2 linked regions of the Coturnix japonica genome follow. The protein of the gene in region 2 purifies or fractionates together with the protein of the main gene of each other region. This does not show direct contact. Links are inferred from orthologs where the notes say so. Each region holds a gene or a part of one and is shown on either strand. Other genes may lie near its edges. The genes, in order: CHCHD6 and MTX2.

The links.
Region 1: the proteins of MTX2 (region 2) and CHCHD6 purify together in Homo sapiens (co-immunoprecipitation; 3 studies listed by BioGRID and IntAct, counting the BioPlex papers as one, with this or other methods). This does not show direct contact. The link is inferred for Coturnix japonica from reciprocal best matches to the Homo sapiens genes MTX2 and CHCHD6.

Annotation. Positions count from the first base shown.
Region 1 is NC_029527.1:7,446,695-7,462,744, reverse strand, and holds part of CHCHD6 (MICOS complex subunit MIC25), read right to left. Parts: intron 8,347-16,050; coding exon 8,211-8,346; intron 5,425-8,210; coding exon of another isoform or gene 5,362-5,424; intron 1-5,361. UniProt on the Homo sapiens protein: Component of the MICOS complex, a large protein complex of the mitochondrial inner membrane that plays crucial roles in the maintenance of crista junctions, inner membrane architecture, and formation of contact sites to the outer membrane.
Region 2 is NC_029522.1:14,455,414-14,472,075, forward strand, and holds the start of MTX2 (metaxin-2), read right to left. Parts: upstream 7,006-16,662; 5' UTR 6,829-7,005; coding exon 6,789-6,828; intron 6,439-6,788; exon of another isoform or gene 5,422-6,438; intron 5,229-5,421; exon of another isoform or gene 5,090-5,228; intron 4,050-5,089; exon of another isoform or gene 1-4,049. UniProt on the Homo sapiens protein: Involved in transport of proteins into the mitochondrion.

The sequences.
Region 1 (16,050 bases), on a different chromosome or scaffold from region 2:
GGAAATGACAGAGAGATAAGCAGGCAGAGGGCAAGCAGAGAGCTTGAAGGACAGAGGGAGAAGAGCAGAGATTCTACAGACTACAGGTATTTGAAAAGTTAAATCAACAGCTTTCCAATAGCATTATTTTAAGAATCATTCCCCCTAATATATGCAGGGAGCCAGCTGCTAGCACAATGACCTTTAAACCCGCCCCACCATACCTTATTAGACTAATTCAGAGCTGGAGGTTGGCTGATCCCAAAATCCACTTACACAGGACAAACAGGCATTCAGCAGGGACAAAGAGCGAACACACTGTCAGAATAATTCAGTCTGCATTTCTGGATACATTCAGGCTTACCACAGCACAACAGCACTCGTTTCAAGCTTCAGAAACAACTTTACACAGGATGTTGCAGCACCAGACTTCCTCAGGACTACACTATCTCCTTCCCTCATATTATAAAGGTAACAAATTCTAATTGTAACAAGTGTTGGCTGTCCGGACAGCTTCTGTGAATGCTGAGGGTGGGCTCTAAGAGCCTTTCACCAGCTCTTAAAGGCTCCTACAGAGGCCTCCAATCAGAAAACACAAAATACCACCAGGTAAGAAGGTGCATATAGGAGGTGCATAAGGAGACAGCATCATAAGGGGATGAAAACCACAATACATGCAGGCCTGGCTCCAAAAGAACCCTCCCTACAAAACTTAGATTTTGTAATATGAACGCTCCACAGTTTTGGATAGAGATGGTCTGTGGATGGAATATACCAAGCAAGCAGCATCAGGATAACTTCCCCAAGCCGTCTCTTCCAACGTGCTACAGGTCTGATGAAAAACAGATTGGTTTCCTATTAATACAAGGGCTCGTGTGCTGTCCATCAGCCTCCCAAGGAGGCGCTGCAAAGAAGGGCGAGGTGGAGCAGTCATGCTTACCTGGTAGCAATTCTTCCACTTGTTTAGGACCAGTGCCACAAGAACAGCCCCCATACATACTATCTACAGACAGATTCAACCGAGTGTTGGAGGCATTAAATCCTCTTAGTTCTCAAGGTATTCAGCCCCGAGACCTGCTAATAAAACAGCTGATGGATGGTGTGTAAAAGCAACAAAGTGCCTTCAGCAGGAAGCCATCCTGCATAGACCAAGACCAACAACAAGCATAACAAATCTTTACTTTCCCCAGTTTGTCATGAAGACTTTGGCATCCCAGATACTATTTCCCAAGTTATAGCCAAGTTGACAGAGAATGGACCTAACATTAGCAATGAAGTTATGGAAGTCAAGGCTATTTTGGAACTTCTTGGGAGTCAGAAGGCATTTGACCACTGACCTTGTGCTTCTAACCAGCAGTTGCTATCGACAGCAATTTCTGTGGATCTGTTTCAATCTAACTTCAGCAGCAAAACACGTAGGTTAAAAATTGGAAATCAACTGCCTTCTGTCCAGGACTGCTTGGTCATCAGTCTCCCAGAATTAATCCGAGTAAGAATTTCCACTTTAACTTGCCAACATTGTGCTACAAATCTTTTGTGAAGAAGTCTGGCATTAAAGCAGCATGATGTATCACAACACACTCTCACCCCCAAGCAACTATTCCCCATAGTAGATAAACCTGGCTGCAAGCAAGCTGCAGCTCTTGGGAAAACATTGCCTAACACACCACACAGAGAGCAGAGACTTTGGGAGACTCTTTAGATAAAATATATCCATGTAGATCTCATTATTTAAGCTTATAAAGAAATAATTCCCAAAGACAGAGTATCTCAGAGAAACACATTCCTGTCCTGATAGCGCTTGTCCCGATTTTACTTATATTTGATGCCCAACTTCAAATGCACCCATTCAGATCCACCCACTCAAAGACCACACCAGGTCCAAGTCAGGTATGACATCTCGCTCCTATAGCGCTTTCATTACCTCCTTTTTCCAGGCTGCTTTTAAACAGGTTCAGGCAAACCAAGTTTTAAGTCAAAAGGAGCTGTAGCACAGACCACTTTTTTAATGTAACAAAACACCACACAGTCCAACTTCAGAAACTGACTTATTTCCCTCTTTTAACAACATTCCCTTCAAAATCATCTGTAAAATATGCACGCTTAGACTAATCTTACCTTTAAGTATATCTGAGATTAGAGTCATTAAGTGAGAAATTAGACCCAAAGGCAACTTTGTCTCACTATAAGAATGTCAAAAAAAAATCCAAACAAGCAAAAAATAGAAAGACAAAAATAAATACACATGGACTGTGAGTCAGGCTCTTAGACAGCAGATTGTTGTGGAGAAATGAGGGCAGGATGCCTTCCTTCCAGGCTAGGCAATGGTCACAAGAACTTCATAGCCTGCACGTTCCTTTGCTCTTGACTAAATCTCCCTAGAAGTCCTGAAGCACATTGAGTTGGGCAAAAGAGAAGTTTTAAGCTTATTTATGCTGTTGTTTCCTTTGCAAATGGTAAATTCCAGAATATACGACATTTGGGCTTTACGTAATACATGGACCACAAACAGCAGAGTCAGAAAGGTAGCTGGGTTAATAAGTGCTGACAGTTTGCCAGGCTGTGGGGAACAGCAGGGCTTCGTGAAGTGCTGAGATACAGAGCAAATAAAGAACTTACACCTCCAGTTTCATGAATACCAGGTATATGCAGCAGCCATTTCCATTTTAAGTAGGCCAGCATTTTACTCTGGGACATGCCTCATATATTAAGATGGTGCTTTATGTCCTTTCAGGCAGCTCTATATTTTTAGTTTATCCACTGATGAACTCTAGGGAATCAGAAATGTTGTGCAAGGACCAAAGACCCAATGGAACCAAAACTGCCACCTTAAAAAAAAGAAATACCCATCTAAACAATAACTGCTTCCATCCTTTATAAATAGGAGCAAAATATGGATCACTTTCACCTTTGCAAATAACAGGTCAGGAGATGCCTACAATGAATCCAATGCTGCTCTGCCTTTACGACTAAATAAACAGCAGCTGCCTGCAGCTTGCGGCCTCTCCACTGATTCCCTTGTGGGGGCCATTTATTGAGTCATAAACTCCTCCGATAGTGTTATCACCACAGCATTTGGACAAATAAAGGTTGGAAGAGAGAAAGATTAAAAAAAGAGAATTGACTTTACAGAGAAAGCAAGAAAAACACTTCACAGATACGTTTGCTTTGAACAAGGGCAGAGAGACGAACGGCAGGGCAGGCACATACCTGGCTGAGGGTATGGATAGGATATCATGCTCCAGATACCAAATACACAGATTTATCTCAAACCACAAAGCTGAATTTCAGAAAGCTCAAACAACCCTAAAGCCTTCCAAGTTAGATATACTGTATTTCAAGTAGCATACCTCGTGATACATCTTCTCTACAAGGCTTCAATTGCTGAGATTTAGATCTGCAGAGTGTTGGTGAGGGAAGCAGAACACTGGCATTTCTCAAGTCACTGTACCTGGGTATGGTTCCCTCATCCAGGGAAACTCCCAGCAGGTCTGTACCCCAGTGGGCTGGGGTCAACCAATTTGTAAAGCATTCTGCACTCCATCAGGATGGAAACAACTCCATAGCAAGAAGCTAAAGATGATCTGAGCTACTCACAATACAGCCCACGACATCCTGCATCTCCTGGAGCCGATGAGCTTTGGCAGAAAGATTCTGGTCGGGGAAACAACAGCTCACAGCAGGCCAGGCTCCTGCAGGATCCAAATGCTTGAGCAAAGCTATTCCATCAGGAATGGACACTGCATGACTATCAGCTGCATCTTCTCAGCAATGGTAATGTAGGTCACTGCTCACAGATCAGAAGTAAACTTCAGGCAGAGTTGCAATGCTCTGCTGTGTGTGTTGAATGGAAAATGGGCTTCCATAGAGATCAGTCAAAAGCATGAGCAGTAAATTGACTACACTTCTTTATTAGAGTCAAAGGTAAAGGAGAATGTAGTAGACTCAAGGTTATGTTAGACATCTACATCTGCTGGAATCTAGTCTGTGCTTTGCCAGGGCTTGTTTGCATAGCAGAGTGACTCACAGCAAATGAGGGTGAATTTTCCCTGCGCTTCCATTACAAACCGAGTACGTTCGCATACAGAGAAGTTGCTATACAATAAACTCACTCACCAGTTTATTACATTGTAATTTCCTTATGAAGACAAGCCCTAAAGCCTCGATAGAAATAGGTTTACCTTTGTCTGTTATGAATAGCAGACTCGTGAGAAGCTGGATGTAGAACAGAGAGAAAAGGCGCAGAACTATGAATGGCTCCTAGCTCAGTGCATGTACTTCCTACTGACAAGGGAATACACATGTGTGAGTATGCAGCTCGTTATAACTTGGTTTGACCAGCAGCTAGAGCACAAAAACATCACCTTGGTCCCTCTGTGAAAGAGGAGCACCTGGAGACATTAGGAGAACACTTGGAAGAAGAAGGGTGCAGTGGGCATTTGATTGCACACAACTGTAAGTAGCAGCACTGTTCAAAACCTTGACACGTGTTAATATGTGGTCACCAGCAGCCGCATTTTTCAGGTGGCAGCTGGTTGGAGACCCCCTCACATAACCACCAGTTACATTACAGCTTAACCATCCAAACCTCTATGGAAACTCAGATTCACCCACCGGTGTGAACAGGACGTAGAGGAAGCAGAAGGGGTCACAAAGATCTTAACAAACCTTGCACGTGAGTGCACATCTGCAGGGCAGGAAAGCAATTCAGCAGCAGGACCTACGCTTCCAAAAAACGATTGTTTTCCTTTTCTATCAGGGTCCAAAAAAAGAAATAGCGCAGATTCCCACTACCCACTCTCCTTTTCCTTCCACACCCTCCTCTCATTGGCACGAGATAAAACCTCGGGGAAACAGCAGCAGCAATTTTCAATTCTCATTATCTAACGGCAGCAGTAGCTCTTGGTGAAACTTGCGGTCAATAAACTACAGGCAATTTTAAAAGACACAATGGGAACTGCCCCTCCCACAGCTGTCCCATTATCCCAGCTTTTATTAGATTTAAAACCAGCAATTCTTATGCTGTAGCCGAAGTTCTGCGGAGCCACAAAAACAGACCACCAGAAAAGATAAAACACTCCTAAATTAAACAGGAGGCATTACAGCAACATGCTGTGATGTCAGAGGGCATCGACATAAGCAAAGCTCAGGTTGCAGGGAGCAACCCAGAGCCCACGAGAACACAAACAAAACTTAACATTCTGAACAAATAAACAGCAAAGCTAGTAAGCGTGTTAGATAGGGAAGGCAGAGAACAGATGAGCAACAAGCAGAAGAGGATCACTCGGGAGCATCCAACTACAGGCACTAGAAGTTTGGAGTTGAAGGCCTCAGTGTGCCTAAGTGGTAGAACAGTCACTCGTAGATGGCAATTCCACTGACCTCCTTTAAAGGACTGTTGTAGGACGTGATGCACCGTGCTCCTGCAGTACCTATTTCTGTGCCCTGATGAGTAGAACACATACAGAAGAGGTAACAACAATTACAGCTCTATCATGCACTACAGCAACCTGCTCCACCAAGAGGGCCTGTACAGGAAAGGAGAGCAGAAAATAAATTTCTAAGGTTCAGAAATTATTACCGGATATATTTCTGTGGGGCAGAGGTAATTGAGATTGCACCTCACCTCCTGGATGAGAAATGTACACAGCAACAGGCAAAGGGAAATGGGTGCCCAAAGGAATGGTCTTAAAGCAACACAGTAAGGGGGAAGATGCAAGGAATTACAGTCATCCACTATAAGTTGTAATTTTCAACCTAGAAATCTAGAGCTCGCTTTCTCTGAGCCTAATGTATCCATGCCTTGGAGACATTTTACCAGCCATCAAAAAGAACTTGCAGAGAACCAGATGCTTCATTAAAGAATATTCACCAAGCCTTATAAAATCTTTAGGAAAAAGCAAAAGAACAAATCACCATCGTGCCAGCGAGCTGAAGTCCCACATCCAGCTTTGATTACAACATCCTTCTATAATAGCAAACAAATTCTGTTTAAAAGAAAAAATAACCAAAAAATCAAGAGATTGTGACCCCTCTTTCCCACATTCCTCCAACCCAAATGAGGAACGCGTGAGACGAAAAGCCATTTGGTAGAAGATGCTGCTAATTTAAACTTAAAGAAAAATAGCAGCTTAGATAGGAAAGGGAGGAGGGAGTTGTACGGTCCAGGAAAAAGCACAACAGCTTGTGATCGCTACATATATATCTCAGGAGTCAGAGGAAGCAGTAAGAGCAGCGAGGCAAACTGGCAGGGCTCGAGCCATCCGGGGATAAAGGCAAATACAGGAGATGCTCTGCCTTGCACACAGCTTATTTGGGTTTGCACTTGCAAAACCCTCTTGTGCCTGTATCCAGCTGCAAGTTTCAGCTACCTGTGCCTCAATGCCCCTTCCCCTTTCTTAAAGCATAGCAAGGAGATTCGCTGTCACATCGCCATCACCCACAGCACGTTCACGTCCTATGCCCCACTTCTTCTGGGAACTTCCCAAAAGAGCAAGGAAAAAAAATTCCCTAAACACTCTGTAAACTGAGACCACCTCCAAGTTCTTTGGTTTATAAAGAAAACATACAAAAAACCAACCCCACACTGCACAAATCTAAGCAAGCTCCAAGTTAATAGGATCTTTCACTGCCCTCTGCTGTTACCAGTCATTTAGCTTCCAATTTACTCTTTAATAATGTCGGCCTGGGGCTCAGGGCTGGCAGCATCCCAGACCCTTTCTCAGGCGGCTTGGAGCCGCAGCTTGCAAATATGCTGAAGTTTAATGCAATCTGTCTTCTTTGGTAATCACATTCCGCCCGCACTGCATGCAATAAAGATGTATTGGTAAATGCATTTGCTAAAGATATACTCCACCAAAAAAGGCTACGAGCCTGATTTACAGGAGGGAAGGTGGAAGCATCAGGTAACAGAGGCTGGCAGCGGATGCACCGGCACTCTGAGCACAGCAACAGAGGGCACAGATTGTGCGGCAGCAAAGGCACTGCTTCACTTTAGAGCTAAGAAAGAAAAAGAAACCACATGTTTTGGGAGCTGGGGGCTTTAAAGATATCAGAGAAAAGCCCTTTCCCTGGCAGCTTTAACCTTGCTGATTTGCAGACATACAAAGACCTTCTTTGTAAACAGGAAGGAAAAAAATTCCACCAGGACTAGCAGCAACATTTGGTCTAATATATCCTGACAATTTTCCCATCTCCTTCTGTCGGGCTTCTTCTGGGAGCCGGCTGGCAGCTTGTTTCATGTTATACTTAAATCAGGCATACAGCTTCCCCTCACAATGCTAATGCGACAGAGAAAGACTGCTTCTATGAAATCTCCACCTCCCCCCACCCCCCGCCTTCACATTAATAATCCCAAGAGAGGAGTCTCAGTTTTCTGTTCCCAGAAGGCTCCATCCCTTCCCCAAACCCACCCTGCTACAGTCTCAAGACCCCTGAGAGATTTTATAACCAAAAAAGAAGTCTGCCCTCAAGGGACATCTGACCCACTGAATTCTCATGTGAGGAACAGCATCCTTTACACTCCAGACATCACCTTATGTCTTATCACACACATTTCCTACAACCATAACCATCCAAATGCTTCCTTTTTCCTTTCTCCTTCACCTGCTCTCAAAGTCACAGATTCTTCCAAGGTCCTCAGCAGTCACCATCCTAAGGAATCAACAGAAGCTAGGAGCGCTCTGCATCTCTGAAGGCAGAGCCATAACAGCTTGCTGGACCTCTCCACAACACAAACAACTTTTAGGAGCACACAGGTCCCTCAAGAGGCAGCAGCCTTGCTACTTAACAAGTTTTCCACATGCAACCACAAAAAGAAGCAAGACTGATAATCGTGAGGTCCTACAATGGAATCAGGAATGTTTAAAGCCTGCCCAAAACATCGCTAATATTGGCAAAATAGACGTAACTACCATCTACAGAACACAGTATCAAAGAAGGAGAAATGTGGAAAAATCATTATGACCGACTTTGAAGGCAAGGAGTATCTGCACTACTGTTTTGGTAGCAGCTCAGCACCATAGGGGCACTGATGGGAAGGCAGCTGGGACATACCACAGAGAGACCGGGCAGCACTGGATCAACTTGAATGGGCATAAAGTGCATCCCAAGGAAGACTTGTCTCCTATAAACACCCCAACTTGACTGAAAGATACCACAGATCTCCAGAAGAAAACACTATACAGAACAGTCAGCAAAGCCAGCAAGTATAACAGAGAAGCTTTTACTACCTTCTGAGCGGCACTAACACAGCGCTGATACTCCTTAGCCAGCTCTGAGCATTTGAGCACTTCACGTTGGTTTTCTTGATAGCACTTCAGAATTTCAGACTGCAGACTTGCACAGACAGGATCAGTGTTCCTCCTCCTGTGGGCAAAACAAGAACAGAGAGATGTGCAAAAGGGAGTTTGCAGCCATTGCCTACCACTTGACTAGTGGCACACACTTGTGCTGGAGTCACTTAGCCCTAAAAAATAAATAAACCAGTAGGAGCAGCGATCACAAAGTGAGTTAAATGACCAGTGATGTCTTCCAGCTAAAAAAATCCAGAGTACTAAGCAGAAAGATGGAATGTATTCTTACTGGGTCAGTGTGGGAGGCTGCTTTACCCACAGATAAAATACTGTGTCTCATCTGCAGTTAAGAGAAACCAATTTCAAGAGGTTCAATGATTTCTCCAAGACACGCAGGAAATCTTTGACAGAAGTCAGGAATTCTGGCTGGGCCTGCACCAGATCTGTAACAGGCTGATAAGGAACTGAATGGACTTGTTGAATGAGCTACCCCTACTTACTGAATTCTCAACTATTTAAACATTTCCCCAAAAAATCCAGCCTGGTTGTGAGTACTGCAGTTCCTCCAGTAACTAAACAAAACAAAAAAAGGGAATAATAGCAAGACCAGGTATCTGTTTCTTTGTATCTCCGAAGCAATTAGTACTCATGTCCCATAAGTGGCATCGACAGCTACTCAAGAACAATTACAGATGATGTTCTGAGGCTATCATGTGCATGAGTACATATGGCATATCTTCAGCAATAGCACCAATAAAGAGAAGGTCATTGTAAAATAATCCGAGCCACAATGGCACAAGCACAGTAACAGCATCATCAGCTGCACAGACAGGCAGCCACAAATTGCAGGAATTTGCAGCACAATTGCCATGGTACATTTCAGCAGGAGGAGTAGCAGCACTAAGACACTGCCTTCTAAATCATAAACCCACTTAATTCCTTGCATTCCCTGCCTCAGTGTGCTTAAAGAGATCTGTGCTCAAAGATCAAATGTCCCTCTTCTTTCCAAAGCACCTGATGTTAAGGGCAGGCACAAATGCCATACTGTGCTACATTCATTTCCACAGTAACAAGTCACTCATTCAATCAATAGGGTTTCCCAACCAGGTAGGAAGAAAATATGGCCTATTCCTGAACATCTTTCATTCTCTCACAGGTGAAACATTTCTAAGCCACAAGGTATCTTGAAGCCAGATCATCCAAAAGTGTTTTGGAGACTACAGATAGGAATTTCCAAATCACACTCATTTTGGTAAGGTACTGAGGAAGGCAAAAGAGGAAAAGAAGAAACCATCTGTACCAGCAACACCACTGCCTCTTCATAATAGTTTGGTTGAGACATACTCCAAGCAATAGTTCAGTCCTCGGTCATACCCTGCAACGTACATCAACAGGCACTGCAACAGGTAGCCCAGTGTTGTGGTTGATGCCCCATCCATGGAGGCTTTCAAGGCAAGGCTGGATCAGGCCCTGGGCAACCTGATCTAGCTGTGCACGTCCCTGTTCATTGCAGGGGAGCTGGACTAGATGGCCTTTAAAGGTCCCTTCCCACTCTAAGTATTCTATGATTATAACTAAGAATTTATCAGCAACAATGTGACAGCCACACTCAGAAACACCTAGATCAGAAAGCCACCAAAATACTACATAGACTTCTTTTTCTCTCCCTCTTCTCTAACCCTACAGCTTTTAGAAGAAACTTGTTTCATATGCAGTCCCCAGAGGTGAGCATGCATTTGTAATTTCCACGTTCCGTAGCAAATCACCTTTAAAGCCCCTGAAAATCCATATTCCAAAAATCTTCAGATTTTGAAATAGAAAAGGAACCGGAGAGAGCATCAAAAACTCATAATATCGGCATTTTGCTTTGTCACTAACTTTAATATCGCTCTAATCAAATCAGTGAGACTGTGGAAACGACACCAAACAATACCAGGTCAGGAAATACCATCAAATCCCTCAATTCATTGAAGAAGTTAAGACTTTTAAAATTAGGTTTTTCCAACTCAGCCATGTTAAACTGAAGGGCATTTTGTAATTTTCAAGCAGAGGGTTGGGGGAGGGAAAAGGCAGAGCATGTCACAGAGCAGTCTGAATTCAATGGAACAAAACAAGTATCGTGGAGAAGCTCCAGCTATGCACCAGTTGTACCACCTTCTCAAAAGAGATTTAGAGAATCTCATCAACACAGCACAAAATCAGCTGACGTAATTATCGATACAAATCCCACAAATCCATTTATGAGAGCATTCACAAATGAACTGGAAATTCAACAAAACCAGCTAAATCCTACAGAGGATGACATCTCACTTTGGAGCAGGAAGGCAGTGCTGCTCAGAACTGTCTCTGTAGCCCACAACACAGTGTGACCTGTGAAATGAAGAGCCCAGCACAGGGAAGGACACCCAAGTCCAATGGAGCACACGCTGGCTTTGGACAGTGGTACACTTAATTTGAAAGGAAGGAGAGCTTTACCAGCTACACCCCTTCAACCTCAGCCCACCACAAGGCTATGGGCAGTATTTAACCTTCAGGAAAATAATCATCTCCTGGACACTGCTCTTGGTAAATGCTTCGCTGCTGGAGGGTTTTAAACAATGAAGGGGAAAGAATGTGGTGGAGAAGGAATGAGGTTTGAATACAGAAAGAGCAGAGGAACAGTAAGCTTTGACCTTTCTTCTAAAATGGGTCACAGTTTTAAGCGTAATATGCTAAGACCAAGAAAGGCAGGCAATTAGCCTCTGTCTAAAATAAAATGCATTGCAATTGCTACTGCTATTATGAAAACAGATGCAGCTAAACATCAGCAATTTACAGCAGCTAAAATAAAAGGGGGGTAAAGGAAAAGGTCTGAGCAGGAGGGCTAGGAAAATACCCACAGACAAGGAACTACAGGAGTTGAGCTCTGACAACACCCCGGATATAAATGCAGGGCATACAAAATATGAAAGATTAAAACAATAATACATGATCAAGGAAGAGGAAAGGAGAAAAGATTACAGGTGGGGAAAAAAAGGATTAATCTAGAAATAAAACTCATTAGCAGTGCCTCTCCAGTCACAGCGGAGAAAATCCTCAGCTTCTCCGCTGTGCAATGAGACAGAAGGCTACGTACATCTCAGATCTTCCTCTCCCCCTCCTGCTGAAGGATCTAAATCAGCTCTTTGGCTGGAAAAGAAGAGATGGGTTTTCTTAAAATGAAACAAAGGGCGTCCTTCTCCCTGCTATCCCTTGAGGTAAGGTGGAACGAATGTGATCCTGCTGCATTTTGACACACCAAGAGTTACCAAATCCTCTCTATCACTGCGTATTCCCTTTACTTTATTTAACAAATGAAATCTCATCAACTTATCCTTCTTCTATTATCACTGCTGACATCAATCTGATAATATTGGCTTGGTGTGGAATCGTGCTATTATATGTCCTCTTGATATTTAATTTAAGAGAAACGTCTGCAGTGGGGTGAATATGTGAAGCAAGCTTTTTATTACTGGCAGCAGTAAGGACGCTGGGAGTGAATTAGACATTCATCTTAGTCAGGGCCAATCTACTGGCTCAGAAGAGGTTTTCTTCTTAACCCTCTCCTAACTGTTCAACAGCGGCAGGTAACGGCTGCTCCAGTCAATAACTGCATTCATTTGTCTTGGCAAATTCACTTCTATGTGGATATAAACCCCATGAAGAAGTGCTGAGCATCTGGGAGGTTAAAGCAAGGTTCTTCAAGAATTTCCATCCTAAGCGCTGCAGTAGTGCGCAGAGTGCTGGTCTAAATGTCCATCAATTAATCAAGGAGCCACAACGGCTCTCAAAGACAAACACAAACTTATTTCATGAACCGATTTAAGGCAATATCATCAGTACACAGATCCCACAGGCAGGCTACAAACATAGCGCAATGGCTACCAGCTCGTTGTTGCTGACAGCTTCCACTTTTGGAAGGAGAGTTATGGGCTTGGTACTGGAAAGCGAGGGAAAGCTGTAAGATGTGTATGCATTTGCTACTATTTCTACCCTGATGAAAAAAAATATCAGACTAGCCAAGTGGAGATAGAACTTGAAAGCTTTAGGACTTGACAGCTCCTTAAACTGGTCCAAGATCCACAGCAAGTACCACGCTGTCACTTGGCTTTACTGGGTAGAACAGCAATCCCAGATGGAATTAGAGGCAAGATTCTCTTTTTACCTTTTACTCTGGGAAACCATTCAAGCTGAGAAAAAACACTTAAGACAGAGAGTGAAGGTATCTAAACCTAGACATTTAGATACTTCTACTCAAAGTGAAAATTCAAAGACACCCAGGGTTTCTTGTACAAGCCGACTTCAGAACAGCTTGCTCCGGTATAGAAGCCGCCTAAATGGTGCAGCGAAATTTCCTGTGGGTTGCAGAACCCAATAACCAGGTTAGCTACTTTCTGCTGCACTATTCAACTGCAACCAGTGTCAGAGCTAACCTGAACAAACCACATTAATCACCACTGTAACTACAGCGCAGACAGCCTCAGAGGTCAGCAATGAGGTGCACGGGCTGCACTGAGAGCAAAGCGCAGCAGCAGTTTCTGTGTCGGAAAGGAATCAGAGATGTGTCAAATAGTTGGTTAGTATGGTTGTATATCCAGGCTACACCAGATGTATTTCAGACTAAGCTCAGCGATGTTTGGTCACATGGAAGTGGTGTGCTGCACCGTACATACACAAAGCCACTAAGTGGTTAACTGACCTGTAAAACTGCATTCTCCCTTGGGTAGCAGTTGGCTCTGATGGCTCCTCTTTAACATGTCAGGAAAATAACTCCAGACAGATGCAATACATAGTGTGCAGAAAGGTTCCATCCTCTCTCATTACTGCATCCTTGACATTTACAGCAGAAAATTAAACACAATTGAAGCATTTCATTCACATATAACAAACTCATCAGCACAGAACAAACAGCCAAGAAAGCCAGCTTCCATCGCAGGATGCTGTGCTATCACAGAGCAAACACTGTGGCCTCGCTACAGCCTATGGGATTCCCTGACCCTGCACGTCAGCTTGATAACATGGCCTGAATGAAAGGGCAGAGTCACTTCTCTCACCAAACAGCAACAAAATAAGAGAAGGAAGATTCCTAATGGATTATCAACCAGTACTATTTAAGCTACATAACCGAGCATAGTCTAAATAAACTCCATGCCTCACAAGAATAAACTATTACCATCAGGAAGGAAATATCTCTGATCAGTCTCATGTATTCAAAACACCACTCAAAGCTTTGCCACCAATCTGCGTGGAATATTCTTTGTAGAAATAACTACTGCGTAAAGGACATGGATTAAAAGGAAAGGTGAAGCCTCATGACAATTTTCTTAATGGGACACTACCTCCACATTTCAGCTGTGGCAGCTGCTTTTCTAAATCCTTCCCTTATGTCTTTTCATACTGTCTGCAACACACTACTGCACAGTGCAGCATTTCCTCTCTCTTTCTCCCTCTTCACAGCTGCACTTCACTAGCAGGTCACTCATTTCTCTTCTCTCCTACCTTGTCCATGGAAATGCCTAATGAATACATATTTATGAAGTCCTTCGGTTTCCATGCAGCTCTGTGATCCTACAAAATTTGTCACTCAAACACTTCCCAATCTCCGCTCCTCTTTTGACAGCTTGTTTGAAGCTGTCACACAATTCCCCATTGCAATTTGTGCACTCAGTGCACCCGCGTCCTTTCCAGGACAGACAACTCCTTCCCTTCCAATCACAGATGCCCAGAAGCTGTTCTGAAATCATCTTCTGTGTAACTAATTAGATTCTATCACTGAGAACAAAAAGTTAAAACAAGCATCCAAATCTCAACAGAGTCCACAACTTGTAGTGTCACTGCGCTGCTGGAACTCCTTCAGAGATGACAGTCTAACCTGACCACGTTTTCTTTAGGAAATGACAACAAGAACAACTTTCTAAACACTCAGACTAAGGTGGAATGCACTACTTCAGAGCTTTATATGACACCTAATTTCAGCCAACACTCACAGAAGTCAACAACGATGTCTCCATTCCACTGATGAAACTCATGCAAAGAGACTGTGTGACCAAAGCAGCACAGGTTCCAGTTCCATATCTCACTTATTTCAACACAAGGCAAACTCTTCTCCTTCCTACATGGTTTAACCTCATATGTAAGTAGCCATTCCCCATTAGAGCAATAGGCCACCCAAAAAAACTTCAATTTATATTTACTTGTACGGATGCAGCTTCTACCGCATTTAAACTGACTTTCTTAGCAGCATCCCTATGGCTGTAGGCGGGTTATAAGTGACAACTCCCAGCCAGTCCTGCAAACCCAATTGCTAATCATCCCTATTAGCATTCTGCATGGCAGATGGCAAGCAATGTGAAATAATGAGAGATTTCTCCCCACAAGTGGATAATTTCAGTGTACATGGATGTGAATTCTTTACCGATTACGATGGTAGAATACTGAGTTACAAGAAACTGTCAGTTTGGAAGATGAAAGGAAAACTACAGCCTCTTGGCTGCCTTGCCAAGAGATACAGAAGTTTACAGAACTGGATCTCCTGCCCACAAAGCCATGCACCGTTTTTTTGCCAAACTACTAAAAGTTGACTAGCAAAGATGAAGCCTAAAGTTAGCAGCAAAATGGTCTCTGGAAGCCAAGCAGGAATGAGTCAGAATCTTGTTGCTGGAAGGAGTTCTCTGAATCAGAAAGGAAGCTGGCTCAGCTCCCACAAGGCAGAAAAGCAATATAGCAAGCAATAACTGAATGTGAAAACAACACACAGCCCAACAAGTGACCCGAATAGGGATTTTGTTTCTTAAGATAAAAAACATCATCTAAAAAACAGTTAAGAACTCAGGTCAGGAAGTGAACGCATGCAGCGTCAACCCTAAGAATATTTGGGTTGTGATAATGCTGTAATGTCAGGCTTTGCTGGGGAGGCTTCTGCTGAAGGAATGTTGGCCCCATCTTTTTTGGTACATGAAACCCCCTCCTAAAAACGCTCTTACATAACGGAGTATCTGTTATGCTAATTTCATATAGCCACAAGACATGAGGGACAGACACGCGCAGTAATTCTTTCCTATGTGAGATGATCTTGTAATGATGTCAGACTGCTAAGGAAATGTTCTTTTCAAAAAGAAACCCTGGCCACTCATTTAAATAGCAGTTACATCCCTTAAACATCACTCAGCGCTGCACTGAGTCCTTTTAGTTACACACCAGACCACAGACAGACAAAAACACAAACCCAATAGGATGCTCTGCATTGACAAGAGGGCTGCAACCTGCTGGAGATGCAGAGACAGAAGAGAACGAAGCCACCAGCATTAAGGGTTCAGGCAGCATCTGAAGCTAAACATCCACCTCATTAAAAATCCCCTTCTTTGCACGTGCTCTAATCTTCAAAACCACAGTGCCCCCTCTCAGCATGCTGTGCCATTTGCTGAGTACTGACTCAGCAAGATCCCCATTAGGCAGCCCCTCATTCCCCAGAGAGCAGCAGGAATGGTGCTTTCACAGAGGAAGGGGGTGGGGAGGTTGGGATTGAGATAAATATTATTTCAAGAAGTTCTCCAAGAATTGAAAGAAATCCTTACAGAAATAACTTAGATAATGCAGGCAGCACATGAAACACCTCAGGTGAGTTAATGAGAACACTGCCTACCTTGAGCTGCTCCACTGTATTGTTAATGGCACTCACAGTCAGGTTCAGCCCATGGGAACACAACACTGAGATGGTTTCTCTGAGGAACCTCATACTTGCCTTTGGTCTCTCCTATCA
Region 2 (16,662 bases):
AAAGGATCATTAATAGTCTGATGTTGAGATGCATCAAAAAGAAGTAGGCCATCACTTTCTTCCCTTTTCACAATGCAAATGGTCACGCTTGCAGGGAACAATATATTGTTTTAAAAGAAAAGGCCAGGAACTGATGCATTCCTAAATCTCTGCTACAGGAATGAAGCATAGAAATACATTTTGATTGGTCTGGTCCTGCAAACTGACAAGGGCCAAGAAGAAATGAGAGCATCAGCAGCTCCCTGGCATTGCTGACAGAGAACCAAGGAGTGTTCCACAGTGCCCTGCCAAATGAAAGCCCACTTTCACACAAGTTAAACAGGCCACATTAAATCATGTATCAAATAATTACATCATTTGCTTAAATCTATCCCGGACCTCCTTCTCAGAGATATTACAATCCAGGTAAATCATAGCTGCTCAGTAATTATTGATCAAGCAGACATGCCAATGTGAAGACTCAATCTGAGCAGCAGTTCCCAAACTCAAGTTTCCTGCAGCAGAACACTAAAAAAGGTTGATCATGACATGACTGCAGCAGCCATCTAGGATGAGACAATCTGCTCCTTAACCCTCCAAGAAAGCTATTAATGGCGTGGATTGAAGCATCTGTCCAACTCCATTACTTTGAGCTGAGTGCCCAGAGCACAGACTGTGCTGTGGCCCCCGGGTACTCGGCATGCTCCCTGCAAGGAGGTGGCCTGGCAACTCCACGCTTGCAGAGAGGCCACTGAAACCCAGCAGAGTCAAAATCATAAATACAAGCTGCTCCTAAATCAACATTTGGGCTCCTTCAGAAAAGCACAGAGTGCCAACTAATGATCTCAATAGATTTATTTCTCAAGTCTCGACAAGCTGGAGCTATTTTACTTATTCCTGATATTCAGCATAAATGCTCCATCTCAAAGAAACTCCGTAATTCTTCGTTATAGCTTTTTATAGATCTCTAAATCAATCTCTTCCCTTTGCGTTACTCAAGTCCTTTGCCCTTGCCTGAAGACATAAAGCTCCATGCAGAGGAGCTGCCCTGAAGAGGAGGACAGATGTCTGACGCTCATGAATGTCCTAAGTGCCCTACTGGACTATGACAATTCTTAGCCATGCTGACTACGTTTTTATACTTTAAACTGGCCTTTTGGGAAGCTGTTTTAGATCGAGAGCTCCCCATCCGAACAATCCAAACTCCTCCATTCCTACAGATGACTGGCAGACAGACCGAAAGCCACTTCTGCAAAGTGCCCCTGGGAGCTCCCTGCTTCACTCCCAGTACCTTTACTCTGACTCAAACCAGGGATCCCACTCTTGTGTCCCACTAGATCAGCCCTCAATATCCCTGATCTTCTCCAAATGCTTCCCCCCATGCATTCTTTCTGTTCAACCAGACCCAGCCCTGTGGCCTCTCACTATGGCTGCCCTTCATTCCCACTCTCCTATCTCACCCAAGGAGCTGAGGGCAGCACTACCAGGAGGCATGAGGTGATGACAGCAGTGCTGAGAGCCTGGACCTCAGGTAGAGGCAAGAAGAGCAGAGATCTGAGGCAGGAGAGCTGCAAGGGGCAGTAATGCAGGCAGGTCTGGCAGTGGTGCAGCCAGCCAAGCGCTGCCACTGTTAAGGGGAAGACACTGGTGCCTCTGCTGCTGCTGTAGGGCTCACGGTCTCCAGGTCAGCCCCCAAAAGAGACAATGGTATTTGCAAAGCAAATGGGACAAAATCAAAGTAAGCATTCCTTTTCATTTACTAATTTTCTTGTCATACTTCTAGAGCAATCCTGTTTCCTGTCATGAGAAAATAAGAAGATACTACTTAGCAGAAAACATCTAATAGTAAAATCCTGATTAGAGGAAGACTGCTTTGTCTTAATGGAGCCAGAAACAACTGTAGAGGGATATTCTATTATAAACTGTAATTATATCACTTCATAAATACAAGAAGTAGCTAACTCAGAATGAAATACGTACAGTACTGTAATTATTACAAAATAAAGTTATTCCTCCTCTGGCCCAGCAAAAGATTAGACAGGCAATCCCTTCAAAGGACTGATTCAAATCAAGCTACAAAACATACGTGCCTGAGCAAACTGGCAGGAGCCACCTAAGAGACTTGCTCGTGGCAAAAGAACAGGACTTAAAGGGATCCCTTACATTGGATTACCTCCCGCTCCAAACAGGGAACTATTTTTTCACTGTATACAAGCACGAACTGTTCACATTCATACATGCACATTCTAATGTACAAAACGGACACCCAGCTTACATTCCATGCCTCCATGTGCAGGAGCAATGAAGGCAGTCAGTTTTCACTCTAGATGTTTTCTCTAAGCCAAACTGCAGCTTGTCTTAATACATAAAACATGCACATAAGAGATTTACTTTTGCTCTGGCATGTTACGCTGCAGGTAGACTCACTGAGAATGTAAAATATCTAAAGGCAGAAGGGCATCTGTTTTTCAAACTGCATTCATTTCCCTCAGCACTAAAACTGGCCAAAGGCCTTTAGACATAACTCAGCTGCGGTAAACAGAAGATCAAAGGACAAACAAGGATATTCTTTTCTCTCATTTTGATTGCTGGTCTGAACCTAATGTGTGGGGAATAGAATGCTAAGCATACTGAGTAATTCAGTGATCAATTGAAAAACATTTCAACAATCTTTTCTAGGCCATTTGAGCAGCCAACTTCTCTAAACTACCACTGTCAGAGTTTAATATTCTGAACCACTTGAAAGCTGGCACTCTAATTCTTCTTGTAGCATAAATACCCATTTCCTACCCTGTTAAAATGTGATTGATGCTAAGCTACTCTAAACAAATTCCCTACCATACATCCAATTAATACTTGAACAGTTCAGAAATTGCTTATTCAAAATGTGGTGTAACATGCTTGCAATTCATGGAACTACACAAGTATTTATGATTCCCCGAGATACAGCATCATTCTCTATATATTTCTGAACAAGTGAAATGTTAAAACATCACTAGAGCAAGCATCTGACTCCACATAAGAGATATCGTTGTCAGTGTGCAGTGGATCACTATGGCATGACAGCAGCAGGTTGTGCTCAGCACCTTGAGATGCACACACGTTGCACAGAGACTGCTGAGCCTCTGCATATGTGCAAGCAAGCTGAGCCAGTAAGGACCACAGAGAGGATGAGCTGGAGGTGCTGGAGCTGGTTGTCCAGAGCAGTCGCCAGCTGGGTTCTGAGCATCCCCAGGGATGGAGATTCCAAAACTGCTCTGAGCAACCTGTACCATGTTAAATCATAGTTCTGAGGGGGATTTTTGTGTTTTTTTCCCCCCTCAATCACTCTTACCATTCCACTCACGCATAACAAAGCACAGTATTCACAGCCACAGGTAAGAGAAGGCTGTTAGAACAGCCATTGTTAAGTATGTTTTTCCTTTCAGATACACCATTTTTCAACCTCAAAAATACTTTTGAGACATTTAAACCTTCCCAGTATCAGAATAACATATTCCCTGTGTCTGTGCAACCTACAAGTGGGGGGTATTGGCCAAGAACCTGGATAACTTCTAGAAAAATTTTCCAATATGAACAAATTGAGCAATTTTTCCTTTATTTAATTTCAGTCTTGGAGTGATACATAGTACAGAAGAGCTAGAAGGCCATGACCCGCCAGCAAAGGTATTTATTATTTTCAAGTCAGATAACTGCTTTTGACACTGATCTGCTTTTGGAAAGCAAAGGCAAGGTCATAATTTTGTTTTTAAAACGATTCAGTGGTGTAGCAGAAATGCTGAAGTCAGGGCTTGAACCACTGGTTTGAGCATTTGGTAGAAAGGCAGGGCCAACACAGGGGAGCTCAGGTGTAAGCAATGCCCCTGAGTAACTGAAAGGGGGGCAGCCAGGACCCACCCCTTCCCAGACCTCATTTAAGGGTTGGCAGTGGAAGCAAGGATTTCTTGCTGGAGATCCCTGCCTACCTGTGGCTTTCCAAAGTTAAGTATTTTTATTTCTTTGTTTTTATGTTCACAGTTGCTGCATTTGAGCTTGTTCCAAGGATTCAAATTGCAAGCACTGATAATCAGGTAAGACACCAAATAAGCAGTGAAAATAATCTCCTGCCCCTGAAAACCTAAAACCAGGTACTCAAAATAGAATGACCTTGGATCTACTTGTACTTTCCAAAGTAGTATGGCCTACTTGAACCTTTGGGGGAAATTACTGGAGGCCAGGGGATTGGTACTCCCTCATGGTAATTGGTATATGGCCTACAGATATTGTAGTTGACATTCTAATTTCCATTGCTAAGGGGACCTTAATCACGTCCCTGTGGCAAGTCAGCCCCCCCTCACTCCTCTGCTACCCAACATAGTTATACAGCCTCGGATATCAGGCCAAAGGGCCTAATACAGACAGCCAGGACATGCCCTAGTGCAAGCTGAAGTATTGACCCAGAACAGGAACACGGCCTGTGTCTTGATGTAGAGGGCAGACCTACCCTTTCTGGTACCTCTGAAACATCAATACTACTCCCTGTGAGTCTCTTTGGGTTCACATGATCACTGGGAGGAGCAACATGACATCAAGATGCTCCAGTGTCACTGTAAGATCAGCATGATGCCCAGTGGTGGACTATATGGGGCTGATGAAATGTGAGCTGGTCCAAGCAACCGTGTGCCTCCTGGAGAAACCACTGAGTACTGGCCCACAAAGGAACGTGACGATTGGTTTGTGATACAAGTTCAACTGTCTTGTATTTTATTGGTTGACACTCCAACAGGTAAACTGTACAAAGTGTTGATGTGTACTTTATCACCATAATGGAAAGGGCTTACCTTTAATCTGCTCAATCATTGGTTCACACCATGAAGGGGTGGAGTGTAGCAGAAATGCAAGTCACAGCCTGAAGCAGTGATTGAGCACCTGGTGGGAAGGCAGGGCCAACCCAGGGGAGCTCAGTTGTATGCAATGCCCCTGAGTGACTGGAAGGTGTGCAGCCAGGATCCACCCCTTCCCAGACCTCATTTAAGGGTTGGCAGTGGAGGCAAGGGTATCTTGCTGGAGATCCCTGTCTACTTGAGGCTTTCCAAGGGTAAGCAGGCTGTTTTTGTTTTTGTGTCCACAGCTGCTGCATTTGGGTTTATCCTCAGTGGCTGCAGCCCAGGGCTTTGCCACCCTACTATTACTGCTGTGCTTTCCATCACATTATAGTGTTACAAGTGGACAGGTCTACAACGAGGATTGGTACTGTACCTTCAGTCATGGTAAGTTACTGCACATCCAGCAGTAGATCAATAAAATAAGCACTGAGCACTTTTGCTGTGCAGGAACATTGGCAGCAATTTTGTATTAAATACCTGCATGTTATATTAAAAAAAAAATAATAATAATAAACTAGCATTGCTTAACCTGTAACTTACAGGACAAAAATGAGGCTCTATGCTTATTAAATTTCAGGAAGGTCCTGAAGCATAGAAACACTTCTGATGCTCTCATCATCCCATATTCATCGTATAACTGTCATCACAAGAGCCTGAGGCTACTGAAAGCAACCAACCCAACGGAGAGGCAAGAATCTGTTCAGAAACAGAGGAACAACTCGGAATGAGAAAGGAAGGAGCCAGGCACTGCAGTATTTCTTGCTTATAGTTTCAAATACGCATATGTATGTGCAATACAGTGTTTGTAATTCCAGTAAGGAACAAGTATTTGGTTTAAGATACTCAAAAAGGGCCACAGAGCAGAGAAACACAGTAGAATCGACTCCTACTCACATTTGTGATTATACTTGTGTTTCACAATGTAAGTGAATGAAAAGCACTAAGGAGATCATGTTAAGTAAATGGCATGGAGTGATGCTGACAGACCATAATCCCCATGTCCTGAGGAATTGGGGTGCCTGGCCTTTAGAATGTAGGTGCTGCTGGAGCTAACACCATGAATCAACAAGTCCCAGCCCAAGAGCCAGGCACAACTTTAAGGATGCCTGTGGGTCCCTGTTGCATACCCAAATTTGAGGTTCTTTGTTTACCACACCAGCAACAGGCAAGCATGCTCTGAAAAACAAACCAGGACTCCTACATCAGGGCCTCTGCAGACCCAGCTCTCGGGACAAATGCTGGCTTCTTCCCCAACGGCCTGGCAGGAATGGCAGTGCTATTTCCTTGCAGTGTTTGCCCCTTGTGGGCTCACATAGCAGGGTGAAATGTGATCAACACACTGACTTTATGTGCAATGTACTGAGCGTGTTTTGAGCTGTACAGCCAGAAACTCTCTGAGGTGCACATTTGTTCCTTGAGAGCACTTCTGTTACAAAGTGTGACAGTTATGCACGTTGCCGCTATTTAGGACAAGGCCCGTGTTTGGTGCATGCGGCCCAGTTATGGCGAATCGTAAGAACAAATCATGCATCGTTACACTTCTCAGCTTCATAACAGCAGCACCATAAACACGGCGCTTGCAAAGGAACGTTATTCAATGGAAATGAAGGCGCTGCGTGGCACAGCTGGGAGCCTTGGGCTCGTTAAATGAGCAGAGGCCGTGCTGCCCGCAGCTGTGCGCTCCGCCATTGCAGCGGGAGCCCGGCGAGGTGCCGCAGCGGCTGTACCGCGTACAGAGCGCGGCTGTGCACGGCCGGGCCTGCCGCAATCAGCCCCTGCAGGGCAAAGCGGCCGGTTCTCCTCAGGGCCCTGCCGCGCTTCGGAGAGGTCACGCAGGCTCCGGCCGCCACAAGGGCACTGGGCCCGCAGTGCACACGATCGCCAGCGGCCACCCCGGCCCGACGCCCGCCCCACCGGCCGCCCGTTCGCCCGCCCGCCCCTCACCGGCCAGTTGGTTCATGAAGGCCTCCGCCACCAGCGACATGCTGCGCAGGGCGAGCCCCGCCGGGACGAGGGCACAGCCAGGAACTGGGGCCGCAACGCACGGCCGCGCATCCGGGTACGCCCCGCCGCCATGCACGGCACCGCCTCCAACGGCCGTTACTCTTGAGGGCGGGGTTTGCGGCCCGGCGGTGTGAGGAGAGGAGCGGAGAGGAGGAGTTGCCTCCAAGAGGGTTCAAATCCTCGGTAAATGTACCCATAGAGAAATGCAGGCTGAGCATACAGTGCAGCTCCAGCGCGGGGACCTGCTGTGTGGAGCGCGTAGTGCGCGATGTGAGGGAGAGATTCGTCTGGAAACGATGCGCTGCAAAGCTGTACGTGCAGCGTTAGAGTTAAATGCAAATGCGGACATTGCCAAATGTGTAAGTGCGCTGTGAAGCCAAACAGCTTTAATTCCGGCCATTAGGATCCTGTTCTGCTTACTGCTCCTTAGTTCCACACTGCAAGTGACTATCCCCCATCTCCTGTGAGAGCTGCTGCACAGGCTGCGGCCTGTCTGCAGCCCTGGGTCAGCCACACAGGACTCCAGACTTCATAGAAGAGCTACGTAACACAAAGGACATCTTTGTGTATAAGCTTTCCATGACAATTACTACTACCAACAAAAGCAACTTCTCTGGGCTCCATATACACCAAATCTGCAGAACTTTTCCTTAAAGCTTTTAATAGGTAGAGGATAGAAAGACAGGATTGTGAGCAACCCACTGTTTGGGGAATTACATCTTGATCTCCTTAGTTAATCCAGATTGAGGAAAAGTCCCTTTGAATTCGCACCCAATTGAAATGTTATCTGAGATAAAGCTGCTTGTTTAGCCATGGTGTAATAATTCTCTTTCTTTGCCTGGAAATATAATCAAAAGAAAAGTGAAAACAAAACTACAATGTGACAAATGGTAGCAGGAAACACTGGCCAACATCATGATGGATGAGAATATTTATCATAATTCTGAGTATTGTGATGGATTCTTGGGCTGATTTAGCCACATCTCTATCCAGTAAACAGTAGTAAAGCCTTTGCTCGGGGAGCGATGACATTTGTTATTTAACTCATGACAGATGCCAAATCCTTCAGCAATATAAACATGGCTGACATCTGAAATACTGCAGACACTTCAGCTTCATTCAAGGAGAAAAATGAAATAAGTGCACGTGGAAGGATAATTGCAGATGTTTTGCAGCTTTTTCTTGGTGATATATTATGTGTATGCAGCCTTGATTACAGTCCTATAGAGAGGAGTCAAGGCAAGGGTACCCTGGACCAGTAGAGCAACATAAAAGGACTTTTAAAAGCCCTCTGGATCCAACAAAAACCCCAGTCATGGGTAGTCTCTACTACTGAGGGAAAGTTGGCTTATCTAGCTTGTTCCACATGACATGTAGAGGTAATAGATGAGGAGCTGAAAGGTGTCATTTCAGCCTGTTTTACCTTTTTTTTACCTTTTATGTCAAGTCAAGGCAACTCAATCCCTTTTCAGTTCCTCTGGCATTTACACTGTATGAAGCTTCAACACATGAGGACTTAATCCCAGTAGTTCTCTGAAGATAACAGAAACACCTAAACGTGGTTTAGTCTGAAAGCAGAAAAATGTTCAACCTCTAACTGCCTGAACTAACTGCAGATTAGAACAAGAACAAAGATACTAGATATGGCTGTGTGTCTGTGGAATATGTACCAACTGGATCATTCATTTATCGACCTTTAGAGAAATGATCAGCATGTGCAGGCAAGGTGGCATTAAATTAACTGAATTTGACAGGAGATGATTTCCTACAATTACAGGTGCTTTTCCTATGGATCATACCAGCTATCTCCTTTTCAACATGTGAATGCTTCCTGAAGTGTCTTGCGGATGATAACTAAAGGGAATCAGTTAAGGGTATAGCTGCTTTTCCTTCATCACAAGTTGAGATTCCATGATACAAACTTCGTGTTTTGAGGTGTACACCTTGGCTTTTATGTCTTAGCCCTAATTCTGTGACATAAAGGCTATCTAAAGTTCAGGAAAATTCCATAACATTGCATTATGAATGCACTACGTAGATTGTTGTAAATGTTCCTGTCTCCAAAATGCAGCAAGACAAAGATGATCAGGCTCCCTGCTCTGGGACTGGAGTTCAGGAATTGCTCCTGCTGAGCCCGGCTTCCTTCACAGCCATCGTGCAGATCATTTCTTCAGCTGGCCACGCAATTCACGTGCTTCCTTCTATAATGCTTCATACCACGGAAAGCTTCCCACCTTTCACAAACTGCAAAGGCAGAACAGCAGATCCCAAGGTGGAAGTATGTCAGATTTCAGTATTGAGAGAAGGACACACTTCAAGTTAGAATTTCAAGGGAAACCAAAAGGCAGAATTGAACAATCTGCAGAGCTTTGTATTTCAGAATGACAGCTGGAGTACTGCTGCAGAAATGCTAAATCATGGCTTGAACTAGTGATTGAGCACCTGGTGGGAAGGCAGGCCAACCTAATGGAGCTCAGGTGCATGCAATGCCCATGAGTGACCAAGAGGGGTGCAGCCAGGGTCTACCCCATCCCAGACCTCAGTTAAGGATTAGCATTGGAAGCAAGCAGGATTTTGTTGGAGGTCCCCGTGTATCTATGAGTCTTCCAAAGGTAAGCAGACTGTTTTTCCTTTGTTTTTGCATCTGCAGCTGCTCTGTTTGGGCTCGTTCTCATTTGCCTTACCCTGGGTTTGTGCTACTCCACTGTTACTGCTGTACTTTTGATTGTGTTCTGACATTATTGCGTTATGAGTAGATGTAGCAGAACCACTACCCATAAATGGGGGTGTTGCCTTACGAAGGCATGCCCAGAGATAAAGTACAGTCTTCATATGGTTATATACACCTCTCCATGTAGGCTGCCTTTAGCAGGTGAGACTTTAATCCCTGTGGCTAATTTGTCCACCAGGGAAATGGAACTGTCATATATGTGTATATGTGTATATGTTCAATTTTAAATTGATTAGAATTTGAGAAAGGACTTATCCATCCCTAAAAAAAAAAATAAAATAAAAATCTAATTATCTGGATAACTTGTAACATGCACATTCAATTTGTATCACTTTTATCTTCCGTTTTGTTGTTCAATAAAGTGCACAGTGTCACAGTGAGTAGCACATACTACCAGCTGCAGTAGAAATCGCTTGTGAATTGCTTGGAGTTGTTACTGATATTGTTGCATGAGGAATTTGGAGATGATAGTAAAAGGCTTCTGGCTTTTTGTAGTAAGCTGCTTAGTTTTTAACATGGCTGCTCTCATTAGTGTGCCATGTGAGGTGTTACTGTCACCTGTGTGGTAGGATTTAAGATTGAGCAAGCACCTGTTAAGGGTAGGAATATCAGTTTCTCTGGACCTGAGTTCTGCTGTGTTTCGTGTGCAGTTCCCAAGTTGATGGAACACATTTTAGGCTAAATCTAATCTAGGCTTTGAAGGCTCTGAGGCAATCTAGGCTCTAGTTTCACTGAAGGAATTTTGTTGGTGTTTGGCATACAATAGCAGTCTTGAGGTGGTAGTGTAAGCTGTTCTGTATTACAGCGTGACCTTTCTTCATCCCAGGATGCTTGATGGAGCATTTCAGAGCACTTTCTCTGCCCAAACTGCTGCTCTCCATTTCCATGGAGCAGGTTTCTAACAATTCCTGCCTTTCCAAATCACAGGAGGAGTGCTGACAGTTGTGCATTCAATTAGGAATGGTTCTTTTGGAAAGATAACTGTGCAGAAATTTCACTGGTGAGTGGAATCTCTGATCAGGCTGTTTGTGTGGTATTGCTGGTGCTTGAGAATAGGCCAAGTGGTAGCGAGCGATTCCTCTCGTTTACAGGAAGCAAACCAACTGGCACAGCAATGCCTTCTCCTTGCCTGGCCCACTGCCATGTTGCCCCTGTGGTGTAACGTAGGGCATCCTGGGGGTTGCTCTGAATTATGCTTGCTGTCAGTGTCTTTAAAAAGCTATTACGGCTGCTGGGGATCTCTGCAATGAAGGAGGATTTGAGCGTGTCCTTCCCTGCCAATACACTGAGTGCCAGGCAACAGCAGGAGGGTGTTTCTAGCATGACTTGGTGCCAGAGGTGATCTGTGTGCTAAGCAGCCTGGCAGAGCGCACGGAGCAGCAGAAACAGATGGATCCAGATTAACGTGATCAAATAGATCTCACGGGGTATTTAGTATGTTTGTCATGCGAGTGTTTGCCTGTCAGCTGTTTCACATAATACACTGTTTTTCCATGTGAGGAATGGTGCCAAAATCTCCCAAGTATCAGGTAAGTTATGAGATTTTCAGTCCCACCAAATCCAGTGGGCTTAGTGAGATACTGCTCTGCGAGAGACCAGAGTCAAAGCTGAGGTCTAACTTCCCGTTCCACAACTCTTGCGCGTGTCCTTGGGATCTTGACATGTGTGCCTTGTGGGAGCAGCTAGGACTCGGTCAGTAGTATAGGTGTTTCTGTGTAAGTTCAGGTGTATTTTATAGTAGATTACGTGCTATGAATATTAAGTACATGATGATGAGAGTATTCCTGTGTTTTCATTGCCAGGCAGGTGTGTGTTTTGGTCTAATGGTCTAATAGTTGTGTAAACAGTGTAAGGCATAATTTCTATGAATGTGCTTCTATGAAAATGCAGTAGTCAGAGTTGAACACAACCACTTTGCACTTGTTAAGTTACTGTGTACTTAACTGATAAATCAACAAATGCTGATGCGTTTCCAACAACCCACATGAGCATAAAAAGTTTTCATAGTTTTAAGAGGTACAAGAATAGTGTTTCTGAAAGCAAGGAGGGGATCTCAGACTGAGTATGAAAGCAATTTGGTGAATCATTTTCGTCTTGCTTTCTCACCTCCTTTCCTTTTTATTCAGCAGGGTCAGATATTCAGGGGTGCTAAGTCTCTTTTAGCACGTCTGTCATCCTCACAGCTGCACTGAGCAAGCATCAAAGCCAGTGTGCAGAGATTCTTACTTCACTCTTTACTTACTGGAGGCATCATCAGCCCCCAGGCTCCTGCACATTTCTGTCATTCATGGCAGCTGCTGAGGAGACTTTCCTCATGCTCTGAAACATCCAAACCTCCCCTGGACTTCCCCTGGTTTCCCTGTGTGTTCTCTCAAGGCCATGACTGTCTTTTTCCACCTTCCCTACTGTGCTGACCTTTTGGCTCCGTTGGGTCCAACCTGTAGTAACAGACTGATTCCGTACTTATCCATCTTTTCTGAATTCCTAATTGAAGAGACAAATATTGATTCATTTACTTTTTTGTTGTTGTTTATTAGTTTAATTTGACGCACGGATCACGGTTGTGTTGCCTAAACTGCAGGAATGTCAAAGCAGCAATCACAGCTCCAACCGGCACTAGTGATTGCTCTAAATGTTCGTCCCGATGTTTGTGTAGCTCACACGGCTGCTAAATCCTGAATCATCTTGCTAATGAAAGTCAGAATAATTGCTCACAGTTTGACTGCAGGCACAGGTTAGGCAAGTCTTCTCAAACTCTGGAGATGGTATCTGTAAAATTAAGGAGCTGCGGCTGAGCTCAGTTTCTGGACAAGTGTGGTAAATACTGAGGGGGTTTATTAATTCATCAGAGCTCCCTGTAAGATGGTCAGAATCCTTCTCTGGAGGCCAGCATAGAAAGAATTAACTTTCTTCTTCCTGTAGAAACGATCACAACTGCCTACCCTGTATGGAGGGAAGAGGCAGCTGTAATGAATTATTTATCCATAGTGCACTATAAGGGATGTGCTGTGATTAATTGTAGAGCTGGGCAGGAAATGGTTTCCTTGTCCCAAAAGATTTTTTAGATTAAAAATGTGCTGCTATTCCACACCGGGATAAAACAAAACCCTCTGTAATACTTTTAGAAGACCAAAATAACGCACAAAATCAGTCTAATATGTACGACTCTTGCAAAACAAGAGCCCAGTAGAAGTTTTTCACGGCTGAGAAGGAAGTTTGCTGCAGAATTCCTGAGGGCTGACCCACTGCATAGCACCAAGCTGCAAGCAGGAGCTGTCCTGGCTGAGAGCTTGGTGCTGACCAGCACACTGGTGTGAGCTCAGAAGTGCCACTAATCCCATGTGTGTGCCCCAGCGGCTGTACCAGGGTAGGGCTTATGGCTACTCTTGTGGAGGCACCGTGAATCTCACTGCAGCAGAAGAGCTGTGACTGGCTCTGCCCAAATGCTTGGTCCTTAGAGCAGCAATCTGTTGTTTGGATGGACCTTTCTGTTGTTACAGAGAAAAGCTACAGAGCTGAGTCATCTTCTATAAACCTGTTTGCCTCCAGATGTGAAATCTCCTTTTCTAAAAAAGCTCACGGGGAAGTGAGGTTTTTATTCTTGTGATTCATTCCCCCATGTGCTTCATAAATAAGAGGATTTTCTCATGATTGTTTCCAGCACTTCCAGTTTAAACACGTAGCCTGACTGTACAGGAGTGCCCTGGTGTATTTCTGAGGGAGGCTGAAAATTGATTCACTGGATGTGATGAAGCAGAAACTTCAGAAGTAGAATCTATGCCATTTAAAATCACTGTCTTGATCCATAAAAGGAACAAGGAAAGCTTTTCTGTATCTTCATTACAGCTGTAGAAGTTCATACTTGACATAGTTTCTCCCCAGGGTGTAACTGCGGTGAAGGAAAAAAATGACGGTGACTGACTTGACTTGAATGTATCTACATTGAAAACATATGGCCTTGTTAGCAATAGGTATGAGCTGGTGGGGCTGGGTATCTCCAGAGATTTGTAAGGGCATGTGGCAGAGCAGATTGATCCCTTCCCTGGCAGTAGTAGAAGGATGTGAGAAAAGCACCAGGTGTCTCCTTTGGTCTTTTTTTTTGAGGCCACGCAGCCAGAAATAAGGAGTGCACGCTGTGTGAGGAAATAGTGCTCAGTTCGTGGTGTGGTGATGATTTCACAATATTTTACAGAGAATATGGACTTTGAAGGTTTTTTGAACACTGATGCGGAAGAGTTTTGAGCTGCATGAATCAGTTTAAGTTTCCATTTAACATGCAAAGAGTGGAGACAAATTGAACTGCAGTCCAGCCCAGCTAACAGCCATGTGCAGCATTCCCAATCCATTATTTTCTCTTAATTCCCCAAAGGCTATCAAAAGTTACAAGGCTAATACTGTTAGTATAATTTGAAGTTGTCTTAGTCACTTGTTTAGAATAAAATTTATTTAGTAAAATGAATACCTTGGTTTGTCAATATATCTCTTCTCTAGTGAAGGAGACTTATGCTGCTGGGTCATACGGTCAGTCAGCCTGCGCTTTCAACGTAGCTGAGTGTAGTCCAGAAACAGTGTAAGAATTCCTTAGTGGTGAGCTCTGTGCAGCATGGGATGTTGGTTATGCTGCTGACTAAATGCTCTTCCCATAGGAAACTCATCTGCAAAGTTTGCATCACTGTGGTGTCATGCAGAAAGGGAAAGAATGGCTCTTCAGTACCTTTATTACTTTGGCAGGGTGAACAAGATGGACAGAGTTGGCTGTTGCTGTCTCAGCCCTGAGCTTCCACTGCTGTTTCTGACTCCTCTTCATTAAAGCTCCTCTTCAAGTGGAGCTTCTTGAGAGCAATGCATGGTGGAAGGTCAGGACGCTTTAATGATTGCTTCTATAAGAAGGTGGTTAGAATCATTACGGTGGCAGTATTCAGTTTGTTTCTGTTCAGACTTCTGCAGAATAAAAGTGCTAGCACTGGCTTTCCCACAGTGAAATCTTACTAAATAACAAATAGGTCTTTAGAACTGGATAGTTTTGGTTGTTTTTTTTTAATAACCATGTTTGGCTTATTCAGTTCTAGATCCCCGTAGTCATTCTAAAGCAGAAATGTGCCTTCAGAAGCAATGAAGCCCAAGTCTTCCAGAAGTGAAATCACTGGCTCAACCACAGTGCCTCCTCCCTGGAAGATTGTATGTGTTAAATGAAGGGGGACCTCCTCTTTGCAGAGCTGATGTGCAGTCTTAAAAAGCAGAGCACATTTTGGTGGCACTCTGAGTTTGTGGATTGCAGTTGTTGACCTAGGCAGTGTCAGCCCTGGGTTCATTTATGCTTCTCTCTTATCCACTTACCGTACAATAGGTTTTAGGAAATGAATTGCAGGCTGGTGGTGACTACAGATCCAGGTGTCCCAGTCTGGATGTGACTGCTGCTGACAACATCCAGATATGCCATCGCTACTTTATTAAATCCAATGGGCTTTAAATTTAGGAGGAAGTCATCAAAGGAAAAGGGCAGAGCCATACTTTGAAAGCATGACTCCGGGGTAGGTGAGATCACAGATGACGCAACAGCAAAGTAGATAGCACTGACAACATGCAGACAGGATGCAATGCGTTTATTTTTATCATGCTTGTGATTATCCCCAGAGTTGTGATGGCTCTTTTCTCGTGTGGCTCTTGTTATAACAATTCATACTTGTGACTTCTCAAATCAGATTAGTCAATCTACTTAATACCATTTCTGAAAAGCAACCAGAAGCACCAGGTGGTCCATGTCTTGAGTGAGACGTGACTTTGAGGGTGTTCAACAGTCCTGTACTGGTTTTTTTTAACTGGCTGCCAGCTTACATTAAAGTGAAAGTCACAATACTGATTAAAGTTATAAGACTTTAAAAAAATCTTGGTTTTAGTATAGGATGTTGCTATGTTATGAACATGGTGTTTTGGGGTCTGGTTTCTCCAGCATCAGTAAATAGGTGTGATAACCCACTGCCATTGTGCATTCACACACGTGCAGTCAAGTGAGTTATTAAAGAGGTAGATTGGCTTTATTGGCAGGCTATTAACACTGCTGGATAGTTGTCTTTGGATTTGATACACTGGGGTGTTAAAGCAAATGCCTCCATGTAAATGGTATAATTTATGTGTCCATAAATGTGTTGTTTTTTTAAATCATTATTTGCATGTCTATGTTTAACATATAGATCTGATACTAGTGAGTGCCAGGAGTAAAGGCAGTGTCCACTATCTGAGCAGTAACTGGATGAAATCTGATCTTGAGTAGCCATTAAGAAATTTAGTGGGATTTTTATCTGTTCTCAAGTACCACTCTAAACTTTATTGTGTTTAATCTAGTTTACTTGTTAAAGGAACATAAAAAGAGACATTAGGAATGCAGATTTAGTGTTGTGCAACAGTCAAGATGAAGAGTAATGGCTGGGAAGCCTTAACTCTCAGGCTCTGCTCCTACACTAATGTCACAAAAATCATATTACTGGGATGCAGCTATCTTTCATAGGCTGCAGGGGCAGAATGGATGGCTCCTTCCCCTCAGCAGAAGCAGCTACCCTGATCCAATGTGCACAGCAAGAGCAGGTCAGTCGAGCCATTCTTGAGGGGCTTTGCTCTTCACAGAGCTGCAGGAATGTGAGTGCTCTGACAGGTATATTCTCATTTGCTGGGCATGTCCTTGTGAGACCAGGGGCCAGATAGCCTGAATATGGCCTGCTTCATGTTATCATAAGGCGTGGTACATCACCCCAACTAGAAGTGCCCCAGTCTCCAGGTTCAAGTGAGATTTCTTTTGTTTTATTATTTGTAACGTTATGGAAGGGTAGTTAAAAGACATGTTTCCTCAGTAGTATGAAGACTGATAGATCAATGAGTTGTATTTGTTCATGTATTTGCTTACAGTTTCTCAATCTGTTAATCACCAGGGAAACAAAAACACAAGAAAAAAGATTGTTGATGAAAAGCTTTTCTGTGAGCCCATGGCCTGATTCTTTCAGCACAGAGGAACAAGTTGTTCTTAGGGCAGTACCTCAGTTCTCATCACTCTATCCAGGTGCCAGTGTAAGCCAAGGAAGGCTTAAGTGT